Linked DNA regions of Coturnix japonica. The protein of the gene in region 1 purifies or fractionates together with the protein of each later gene. This does not show direct contact. Links are inferred from orthologs where the notes say so. Each region holds a gene or a part of one and is shown in the gene's direction. Other genes may lie near its edges.

What was found. Proteins that work in one complex are often made in the same cells at the same time.
Region 2: the proteins of MAD2L1BP (region 1) and MAD1L1 purify together in Homo sapiens (co-immunoprecipitation; 4 studies listed by BioGRID and IntAct, with this or other methods). This does not show direct contact. The link is inferred for Coturnix japonica from reciprocal best matches to the Homo sapiens genes MAD2L1BP and MAD1L1.
Region 3: the proteins of MAD2L1BP (region 1) and LBR purify together in Homo sapiens (co-immunoprecipitation; 3 studies listed by BioGRID and IntAct, counting the BioPlex papers as one, with this or other methods). This does not show direct contact. The link is inferred for Coturnix japonica from reciprocal best matches to the Homo sapiens genes MAD2L1BP and LBR.

Annotation. Positions count from the first base shown.
Region 1 is NC_029518.1:27,749,051-27,753,583, reverse strand, and holds MAD2L1BP (MAD2L1-binding protein), read left to right. Parts: upstream 1-1,543; 5' UTR 1,544-1,587; coding exon 1,588-1,893; intron 1,894-2,135; coding exon 2,136-2,666; 3' UTR 2,667-4,293; downstream 4,294-4,533. Other genes in the region: GTPBP2 (GTP-binding protein 2), read right to left, coding at 373-555; epoxide hydrolase 1-like, read right to left, coding at 4,385-4,533. UniProt on the Homo sapiens protein: May function to silence the spindle checkpoint and allow mitosis to proceed through anaphase by binding MAD2L1 after it has become dissociated from the MAD2L1-CDC20 complex.
Region 2 is NC_029529.1:3,147,247-3,151,115, reverse strand, and holds part of MAD1L1 (mitotic spindle assembly checkpoint protein MAD1), read left to right. Parts: intron 1-1,652; coding exon 1,653-1,832; intron 1,833-2,143; coding exon 2,144-2,268; intron 2,269-2,902; coding exon 2,903-2,984; intron 2,985-3,869. UniProt on the Homo sapiens protein: Component of the spindle-assembly checkpoint that prevents the onset of anaphase until all chromosomes are properly aligned at the metaphase plate.
Region 3 is NC_029518.1:15,153,557-15,156,462, forward strand, and holds part of LBR (delta(14)-sterol reductase LBR), read left to right. Parts: coding exon 1-95; intron 96-461; coding exon 462-587; intron 588-689; coding exon 690-858; intron 859-1,350; coding exon 1,351-1,431; intron 1,432-1,529; coding exon 1,530-1,652; intron 1,653-2,431; coding exon 2,432-2,592; 3' UTR 2,593-2,906. UniProt on the Homo sapiens protein: Catalyzes the reduction of the C14-unsaturated bond of lanosterol, as part of the metabolic pathway leading to cholesterol biosynthesis.

The DNA of each region.
Region 1 (4,533 bases):
CAATGTATTAATGCTCTCCGCCCAGTTTGCTCACAGCTGTGCCAACCAACCTGCACTGACCCACACACCCCTCAAGTACCACCAGCAGCTTTTCCAGCTGCAAGAGGCAAATACCATCACCGAGATCGCTCCCTCCGAGCCCGCCGGCACCCGCCGCATCCCGGCGTACGACAACACCGCCTCCCCGAGCCGTGCCGGTACCGTGCCGTGCCGAGCTCCGTTCTGTATCCCGGAGCCGGGGATCCCCCGCAGCGCTGCCCCGAGCTCCCCCTCATTCCCACCCCGGCCCCGCGGCGCACAAAGCCGCCCCCCCGTCCCGTCCATCCCGTCGTGCGGCGCTGACAGGCCCCGTGTCGCCCCCCGCCGTGTCACCTCAGGCGGCAGGTACGGCGGGTTGTTGGCCTTGCCCCCCCGGCTCCGCCCGTTCTTCTTCTTCGCCTTCGAGCCGCCGCCGCCGCCGCCGCCGCCGCCGGGCGCGGCCCCTCCGCGTCCTCGCAACGCGGCTCCGTTGGGCCGGCAGCAGCCCCCGAACAGCTCCGACACCCGCGGATCCATGGCGGCCGCTGAGGCCCCGCCGCCCGCCGCCGTTCCCGCTGTCCCCGCTCCCCGCCCGGGCTCCCCTCCGCCCCGGCCCCCGCCGTCAGCGAGCCGCCGCAAGGCACCACGGGAAACGGAGTCCACGGCGCCACCCGCCTACGATTCCCAGCACGCACCGCGCCGCGCCCCTCTCGGGACTGCTGCTCCCGACGTGCCCCGCGGCGCTACCCGCAACGTCCTCTATGGGTTCCCTTCGCAAGGGCGGATGGGAGTTGAAGTCCCGTGCGGGCGGCGCCCCCTGGCGGCCATGGAGCTCGGGGTGCCCCGGTGCTCTCCGTTACGGGACGGGGCGCTCCAGCACACGGATATTGGCACCGGGGGCGGGAAGCCGGGGCGCTTTACAACATGTCTGGCAGCAAAACTACCCAGTAAAGGCGGAGAAACGGCACCACGTACGTGACAATTCACGCAGACACCGCAGCTCCTTCCGACGGGGCTCACAACGACAGCGCCGGGCTCGGCCCCCATGTGCCGTGCCAGCAGCACCCCGCTATTCACCCCGCACCCGGGGCACGGCGCCGCCGTGTCCGTGTCTGCCAACACGCTGTGGGAGGCCCGTGGCGGGCAGCGCCCAATGGGGCCGCGGACACGTTGTTTCCAAACACGGCCGCTCCCCCTCCACCCCGGCCGGGTGCCCGCCTCCTCCTCCTCCTCCTCCTCCTCCTCCTCGCTGCGGCGCTGCTGCTCCTGCCCAACAGCGCCCGGGGCGATGTGAGGCGGGGAGTTGTGCAGGGCCGGCCCCCATCACCGCCGTGCCCCCTCCCCGCAGCGCTGCGGGCGGGCTGTGGGACAGGGCACAGCCCCGCTGTCCCGGCCGCTGGGGGGCGCTCTTCTGCTGTTCTGCTGCGCAGGGCTGGCTCCTAGCGCCCTCCCCCCATCCAACATGGCGCCCGCTCTCCGGAAGCCGCGCAGTGGTCGCTCCCCCGCTCCCATGGTGCCCCGCGGCGGCGGCCATTCAAATTGCAGCGGGCGGACAGCGCCGCTCACAAAATGGCCGCGCCGGGAGGGACGCGGTCGCCCGGTGTGGCGGCTGCGGCGGCTCCGTGTAGTCCGCCCTCCCCGCTCCTCACGGCGGAGACGCCGCCAGCCCCGGAGCGCGGCCGCGTTGGGAGGAGGTCCCGGCGGAGCGCACCGACGGCTCTGAGCCCCGCCGTGTCCGTGGTGTTCCCGGGCTCCGTGAGCCGAGAGAGCTGCTGCCGCTTCGCCTGCGAGCTGCTGAAGCACGTCCTGCACCAGCGGCAGCAGCTCCCGCTGCCCTACGAGCAGCTCGCATACTTCTGCCAGCGGGCCGCGCAGGTGGGGGGCGGCATTGCCTTGGGGGGGGGGGGGGCGTTTAAAAGCCGCAATTGCAGCGCCTTCACTCGTTGTCCAACGTGTCCCCTTCTAGAAACCTGTAGGCTCCAAGCTCAAATGTTGCCTTCTGCACGTTGCTCCATCGTGGATGGAGGAGGGGATGCACCATACTTTATGAAGAGTGAATCAGGACCCTCTCCAATCTTTTTTACTTGTATTAATGTCTCTTTTGTTCTGGTTTGCAGGATGGAGATGTGATCAAGAAGCCGTCCTCTGTGGGCCTGGCAAGCAAGAAGTGCCAGCAGGTGCTGGTGGAGCTGGAGGGAGTGTTCCAACAGTTGGAAGTGATGTTCAGCTTGACGCTGGTTCCCCGTGTTCTTATTCTGCTCGGTGGCAATGCTGTGAGCCCCAAGGAGCTTTACGAGCTCAACTTGGAGGGGATCTGTGTGGGCAGCGCTGAGAAAAGCCTGAAAACCACATCCTGCGTACGTAAGCTTTTTCACTCGCTCTTCATTGCAGATGTCTTCAGTGAACTCAAAGCTCTTCCCGTCACGGGCACTGTTGTTATGCTCCAAGGGCATCGCAATTGTGGTGCGGAATGGTTCCGGCCCAAGCTCAACTACAAAGTGCCAACCCGAGGAAGGAAACTGACTATTAATTTGTCCTGTGATGGAGACGTTGATACAAGTGCCTCAGCTCCTCAGACTCTGACTTCTGCTTGGGAGGACTACATATGGTTTCAAGCACCAGTGACGCTCAAGGGCTTCCATGAATGATCTGCGCTCTATAGAACTTTAATGGGATATTGAATATTTTTTGGTGCTGCTTTAGGCAATAATCCTATCAAATATAATGGCACACTCTTGTCTCTCTGGATCTCTTCTCTAGGACATCTGTTGCCTTCCTGGACCACCTTCTTCCATGTTCACCTCCTGACTTGTCATTGAAAGCAAATGCCCTTTAAGGCACAGTTGCATACAGATATAGTGATTCCTTAAGGAGATTAATTGATATATTGGGTGTAAAAACTTCCCTGTGACATGCTTGCTGAACTGACAAATATCGGGTACAGTCCTTCTGTGTTTTACTCTCCTGAGTTTTACTGCAGCCATTTCTGTTAATGATTACTGCATTTTATGATCATTTGGGACAAGATAACATATATGATTATTAACATAGCTGGCCATTACTGTGAAGGCCATAACCAGTCTTTACCTCACTGATGTGAAAAAAGACCTTTTCCTGCAGCCTACTCAGGTTTGAGTACTCAAGTGCTTGCCCATCTAGTAGATGATATATTTCTTCCCATAACATTGTTTCAGATTGTTAGGAATCCAGCATGGTGCCCTTTAGCAACTGGGAGACTTCATACCTAACACTGTGTCTTATATTGGTGATGAAATGAGGCTGAGTGGTCCTGTGAAGGCAAGGGAGCACATCTGCCTATTTCTTTACTAGTTTTTAGCCCATCAGACCTAACAATCAGATTGATATGTGATTAAAGTTAGGAGCAAGCAGTTTATTCTCTCCTTCCTATGAAGTTAGGACTCCTGCCTCAATGTTAAAGCTTATTCTCACTTAACAGAAAATAAAAGTGTCTTATTTGCTTTTGGGGCAGGGAGGAGAAACAAATGCCAGAACCAGATATCTGCTGGAGTTGTCTTGAGTCATCTGGATATGTCTCTGCCGTGTAATGAGTTAAACAGCTCCATCCATAAGAAGAGAATCTCTAAGCTGTTGGTAGTAAGGTTGCTTACTAGGTGCTAACAAAAGCTGTTTGATGGGGTGATAAAAATCATTTGAAAGGAGGTTGTTAAAGGGTGAGTTAACCCTCTGCACTCAGTGCATATTTTAAGCTTTTCTGACATTTTGGCAGTGAATAAGATTGTAAAACTGGAAGGAAATCAGTTTTTTTAAAGAACACTACAGGTGCATTTTTGCCTTGTTATCCATTGACAGCTAGTAAGTGCTAAAACTAGCTCTAAGGACTGCTGGAATAAGGAGAGCTGCCTTATGTGCAGCTGCTCACTTGAGAGTATAATCACAGGTCTCTTGAATGAAGTGTAACTCAAATGATTCCATAGGAGTGTTTGATATCCTCAGGACATCTAAGCCCTTTACATTTCCACCAAAGCTGCTTGAAGTGTCTATTTAAGTATGCTAAAGTTTCAGTATTTGAAGAAGGAACAAGGGGCCAATTCCTTTCTATCTCCTCCAGATGAGTGCAATGTAACTGCATTAAGTTGTTTACATATTCAATTATACTTGAATTATGAATGCAGCAGTGATACGGTGCCAGGAATAGAAGACAAGATGCTTTTTTTCATATGAAGAGCTTTAGAGTTAAACAAGTTTAATAGTTATCATCATCATTATCAAAATAAAATGGCTTCTGTGTTGTGATCGTATTGAGTTTATTTAATCCCTTAAAGTAAGGCTTCTGTGTGTGGCAGAACAACTTGCTTCCACTCTATACATGTATCTAAATTCAGGTTCATAGCCGCTCCACCTTTCTCACAAAGCGGATGATGTCTTGTGCCAGCAGCTTTGGTTCCTCAAAGGCAGCAAAATGTCCTCCACGTGGCATGTAAGAGTACTGGACGATGTTCTTGAAGGTCTTCTTTGCCCAGACCTGTGGTGTAT
Region 2 (3,869 bases), on another chromosome or scaffold:
CTGATATCATGGGTCTGAGTTAGAACACATGCAGTGTATCTATGTTGGTGTTTTAGTTTGCATGATGGAAATGCTTCTGGCTGTTGTCACGTGCTTTGCTTTGGTTTGCAGTGCTGTGTCTCAGGATGTGAATACCAGACTCTTTTTGGATGAAACAAGACTAAAAGATGCAGTCCAGGAGCAAGCACAGTGCTCTCCAGCTGTTAATGAGCACTCAGTCTTCAGACTTGAGCTCATCTGTAGTAAAGACTTCTGAATAGCATATGGTGTGTGTGCATTGTGCTACTTGCCAATGTGCACAAATCCTGTGTGAATGTCAGAACGTTGTTTGCTCATTGAGCAGTCTGATCTGATCGCTAGATCTTGTTAACACAGCGTTGGAATTGTCATGGGTTGCTGTAACAAAAAGGGATTTGTTCTTTGTTTTTCCTGGAGATATTTAAGCGCTTTTTCTCCCAAATGAATTTAAACTTTTGCTGGCACAATTGCAAGTACTTAGTTTCTGTGACTGTAATTTAATTGGAATGGCAGCAGTGCCAACCCATGCACTGTCACACAAGAGAGCTTTCATTGATAAGACTGTGAGCCTCACTCAGGGACTAATAGCTTTTCTTGGTTTCTGATTTTATGCCTGTATATGTTTGCTTAGCTTTGTCACTGGAAGTGCCAGTAGAGCTCTGGGTTCTGTATGATAATAGAAGTCCTACACGCAGCTAATTACTTAAAATGATTTTTTTAAAGCGTGTTTTGTTGTGTTTTAAGAGTGTTGGGTGATGGATTTAGAATGTGGTTGTTAAATAGTGGGTCAGTGACTCAAGTCTTCGTTCCTGTTGAAGTCAGGTGATTTAGCATTAAGCCACGAAGAGTTCAAACTGGAATCCAGCTGAGTCAGTCGCAGGAACCCTTGAAATACTAGTGCAGAAAAGGGAGCAGCACTAATCCAGCGCTGTGTAATCACCCTGCTCACATTCTGTGGTTTTTTTTGAGTCATGTGGATGAAAGCTTTAGGAAGCTCATATTGCTTTGCATAATCCTTACTTACTATGTAAATCCATGTCTCGATTTGCTTTGATTAGCAAAGCAATTTACTGCAGATTTTTCAAATAAGCATTAATCAATTTGTGGTAGGAAAAAACTGAGAAGGTGTATGAGAGATCGTCGGAGTGCAGAAATGTTTATTATGTTCATTGATAATACTGTGCATTTAAGCCCGGCTGCTTTTCCATTAAATAGCCTCATAAAACTGCCAGGAGTTGCAGAGGAAAGTTTGTCTTGCTAACACAACTACTGAGCTCTGAGGTTCTGAATGCACACTTGCTATGTGTGGTTCAGTTTTAAATCAGAACATCAAATGTTCTCGTCTTTGATCTGCTGCAGGGTGTGCAGTGCAGTCTGTGGGGCCGTGTCTGTATTCCAGGATTGGTGCCACTAACAGAGGGAGGAATAGTCTGTTTTCCAGCTTTGTTGCTGCGAGTAGTTCCTTGACATTGAGTTGCTGATGCTGTCCTTGCTAGTGGAAGGCTTAAAAGCTATTGGTGTTGATAACATGGCTTCGATGTGATGCTGTGGTGACCGCAGTTATAAAGAGGCAAAAAGGGCTTCACCTTTGTGCTGGTTTTCTATGTCTCTTTTCATGTTTTTCTCTTTGCAAGAGAGAGGCTGACCGTAACCAGGAGCTGCTCACACGCTTAAAGCAGTATCAGGAAAGGGAAACAGAAGCTGAAAATAAGCTGAAGGAGCAAATGGAGGTGAACAAATCCTATAAGAAGAGTATGGAGACCATGAGTAAGAAACTGCAAGAGAAGGAGAGCAAATTAGCTGAAGCTAATGAAGTAAGAACGGAGTAACTTTCTTATCCATTCGTAGATTCAGGTGACTTCGTAGTTCTTGTGAATGGAAAATGGCCTTTTTGATGTACCAAAAAAGTGTATTGCTAGAGTCAGCTTGCATGACTTTGAATAAAGAGTGCAGGAAGTGATGGAGGAGACAGCAAGATGGGAATTGTTCAGGGGCACTGGGGGAATTGTAGCGTGGATGAGACTGGAGTTATGCACAGTTCATTCTTCAGAATCATTAGTTGGATGTGACTTCTGTGTGTTACAATCTGTAATCTCCAGTTTCTTCTTTATTCCCACTAATGCAGACAATCACTATATTAAAAGGCAAAATATCTGATCTACAATGGAATATAATGAATCAGGAGATGCAGATGACAAGCCAAGACTCACAGAAGCAGGAGCTGATGGAACAGCTGGATGTTCAACATAAGTAAGCAGAAGACGAGTAACTATGAGGAGAAAAAAGCAAACAAAACTTCAGTCTTATGCAGCTGTTGTCACTCAAAAACCTTTCAACGCTGTTTGATTTCCACTCTTCAAAGGGATTCTTTGAACTGGATGTGCAGGTTATAAGTACTGTTTGAAAGTAGCTCTTAGCAGAATTTTATTTGTACCTTGAGGAAAAAAAAATTACTCAAGCTTAAAATCTCTCTCAGTGATGTTTCATGTTCGTACTGGAGAGCTGACAGAAGGCAGGTGGGTGGGAAAGGCTGATCTGAATTTTATAGATTGAACAGAACAAAAATAACAAGCCGTAAATCATAGGTGAGGGGTACTTGACAGATTTGAGTGTGTTTTTCTTTGCTATCCTTGGTTTTCCTTATTATTTGCTGTGTGTAAATATTTACTGATTTCGCAGTAAAAGAGAATATTTCTCAAGGTGCATCTTAAGTGAAGAAATTGATATCTTTTGTGTATTAGAGGAAGACAATGAGAGTGTGAGATGATCTTACATAACAGTACCATATACTTTGTTAGTGATACTTGGAAATGTTTACCATGCATGTGTCTTTTTCTGGTACATGTTTCCTGGGTGCTAAATCTCTCTTCTCTGTTTCTAATAGGAAATGGCAAGAGGCTACTCAGCAAATCCAGACATTGCAAGCGAGCCAGTCCCTACTGGCAGAATATGAACAGAAGATTAAGGTAAGACATTGGGGTTTGTATAAACCTTGTTTTGATTTTCTTTAAAAGTTTCTTCATTGTCAGAGCAGAAGTGTTCTGGATGAATGCTCTGTTTGATCTTGAGCCCAGTGTATTTGTATTCTAGAGCAACCTGGGTGATTTTCCTCCCCCCCCCACTGCTTAAATGCTGGAGGATGAGCCTAGCAGCTGTAGTTTCTGATCCCCAGAAAATCCTTTCTCTGGAGTTGGGGTTGGCTCTTTATATAACCTGCAATTACTTGCAGAGTTCTCAAAATCACAATAAAATGTAAGTGTAGGTATTTTATGTTCATTCAGAATACCTTGTTATGTTGATGTGAGTGTCTTTTCCACTTGCTTTTGGTCTTCCTGGTGGAGGTAGGGTTGCTTTTCTCTGAGCAGATGCTGATTATGACTTTATAGCTTCAGAAATATATAATGGCTTATATATCATATATCATGGTTGAAGTGGACCACAATGATCATCTGGTTCCAACCCCCTGCTATGTGCAGGGCTGCCAACCAGCAGCCCAGGCTGCCCAGAGCCACATCCAGCCTGGCCTTGAATGCCTGCAGGGATGGGGCATCCACAGCCTCCTTGGGCAACATGTTCCAGTGTTCACCCTCTGGGTGAAAAACTTCCTCCTAAGGACTTACTTTGCCTGTAGTTGTAAAGTTGTGCTGAAAGAGTCGCATTGCTCATTCTGTGATTGCAAGGGGAGACTTCCATCTGTAGGCAAATCCGTTAAAAAGAAAAGTGGGATAACAAGGTATCAGACTTTATTACAGCTCTAAATAAATATCTCCACCTCCATAACAATGTTTGCCATGATGCTGAAATGGGCACTTGTATTTCTTTTGGTTCTTAATTGCTCAGGACTACTCGTA
Region 3 (2,906 bases), about 13 Mb from region 1:
TTTATGACTTCTTCACTGGGCACGAATTAAACCCTCGTATTGGCAGTTTTGACCTGAAATACTTCTGTGAGTTGCGTCCGGGATTAATTGGCTGGGTGAGTCAATAAGCTGAGCTACTTCACATTTTCTTCTGTGACTGGTGCTAAAGATACAAGAAGTATTTAAAAACAGAAAAAGAACATGCAGTTTTGTGTTGATAAATTTAAAGGGTTATTTCTATTTACCTTAGGACAACTCCTGCATTGTAGCTTGTTTGCTTTGTGGGGAATGAAAACCCCTCTGAGAGTACAAATATGCTGATGCTACGGCTTTGGAAAAGTCATTAGTACAATACATGAAACAGGATGTTTTTTACATCTTGAATATTAGTCAAAACCATCCTTATTAAAATGTTCTTTAGCATAATAGGAAAAAAAAATAGTTGTTCAAGAAAAAATTATAATCATTTCATTCTAAATTAGGTTGTTATAAACTTGGCAATGCTCTTGGCTGAGATGAAGATATATAACCAAAGTATGCCATCGCTGTCAATGATACTTGTGAACAGCTTTCAGCTTCTATATGTGGTGGATGCTCTTTGGAATGAGGTACAGTATAGTCTTCAGCTCTGTATTAACCTGAAACTATTTCTTACTACATTGTTTAAATAATGAAGCTTTATAAATTCTTTATTCCTTCCATATTTCTAGGAAGCTGTTTTGACTACAATGGATATTACCCATGATGGATTTGGATTCATGCTAGCATTTGGAGATCTGGTGTGGGTTCCATTTGTCTACAGTCTGCAGGCCTTCTATTTAGTTGGACATCCTGTCACAATTTCTTGGCCTGTTGCAGCTGCAATTACTATTCTGAACTGTAAGTTACAGTAAATGTTATTGTTACTGATAGTAACAATGTAGTGGTCTCTTCAGATCTGGTTTGTGTAATGCTGTATACTTGCAGTGAGTCAGTCAGTTTATGAAATATGCTCTGGGTCAATGGAGTAGGCACCTCAGAGTACTGGGCTGCTAGTAGAGCTATCTACTGTGACACATCACTTTACCTGGATTTTTGAACTCGGTGCTACGTAAACAAACTATAAGTCAGTTATAAACAGAAAGTAAGATGTGAAAGTGCAGCTTCTCTAAAATCTTAGAAGTTAGTCACTAACATGCTAGAGCATATGTGACAGTTCTCCAGTAGCACCTCTAGCTTGTTAGAGCTCTGGCAACTGGAGAGTGTCTTTTCCTCAGAAACAGGATTAATTTCAGTGCAGTACGAGTGACAAACAGCACGTGAGAGCTTTTGTTAAAGGATGAAAGCAGTATAAAATACAGAGAATGCAAAGTAACTAATATTTATTTCCAGGTGTTGGGTATTACATATTCCGTAGTGCAAATTCTCAGAAAAACAATTTCCGAAGGAATCCAGCAGATCCCAAATTGTCCTGTAAGTGCATCTTTTTATTTATTCAATTATTTACGGTGTCCCTTTGGACTCGTGACATGCACATTTCTGTTGTATTGACTGCAATGCTCCATTCATAGATCTGAAAGTTATACCCACTGCCACTGGGAAAGGACTTCTTGTCACAGGTTGGTGGGGGTTTGTTCGTCACCCCAATTACCTTGGTGATATCATCATGGCGCTTGCGTGGTCCCTACCCTGGGGTGAGTACCTAAGCACCTTAAATTCTATCTAAAATGGTTGTACATTTGGGGTTCTGAGTCAGTTTGAAATGTTAATTGATAAGTGGGGTAATAAAAGGTTTTATTAAATTAATGGCAAATTTCTAAGTTGCAAGCTTGAAGCTCAATCCAATGGCACAGTTTGGCTTCTGCAGGTTGTGGGATGTAGGGAATTGTGGCAGAGTGGGTCTTTGCAGTAGTTAAGGCCCTGAGTATCAGCAGAGACCAGGAATGAAATGTATCCATAGGGATTTGGGATTTCAAATTGAAAGTAGACAATATTGGCTAGCAAAAACACTTGTAGACAGTATCTTAGAAGAGGATTCCTGCATAAAAATGAGGAACTTGAATCCTCTCTTGGTAGCCACAGGGTGGGAGTGGGAGGGGATCAGGTAGGTGGTGCGCTCTGAGCAGAGGTAGTTACCATCCACACCCAACACAGAAATTCCTGTAGTTTTTGAGGCAGCTCAGAACTGTAGTTTTGGTAGCTAGAGAGCTTAAACATGTGCTGGGTTCATATACACAGAGTGAAGTCAGTGGGTTTTGAGACTAAATATGAAGCTTATTTGGGGAGGATAAAGAGGTGTTCCCACTCACACTTAAACGTCACATTATATGTGTGCTGTCCTGTTGAATATTTGATGCTTTATTATGAGCACAAGGTGCTTCGGCCTCTTAACAAGTTCACGTCACCACATGTTGCTAACAGCTAAAATGTTTGTTCATGCATTCAAATTGATTTTTCACACTTTATTTTACAGGTTTTAATCACATTTTGCCATATTTCTATGTGATTTATTTCATCTGCTTGCTTGTTCATCGAGAAGCTCGCGATGAACATCATTGTAAGAAAAAATATGGTTTGGCATGGGAAAGGTATTGTCAGCGTGTCCCGTACCGCATATTTCCTTACATCTACTAGAGCACTCCGGATTCCTGATCCACAAATTAAAATATACCTCTCACCTTTGCACTTGGTCTATTTGATATCTAGGCTTTAAACATTAAATGTGACCAAACAATGGAGTGCTTCAACAGGTATTTACAAGTAATCCTAAATGCTTATGAGTTATGTGAACTGACTGTCTATGACCTCAATTTAAGAGAAAAAAAGAAAAAAAAAGGTGAATTTTAAAGTCCTGGAGCCCTAATTTTTCAAGCTAAATTTTATCTAGAATTCTGAGTTTACATTTTATTTTTATTTTTTTTTAAATTGCATTAATTAAGCACTGTGAT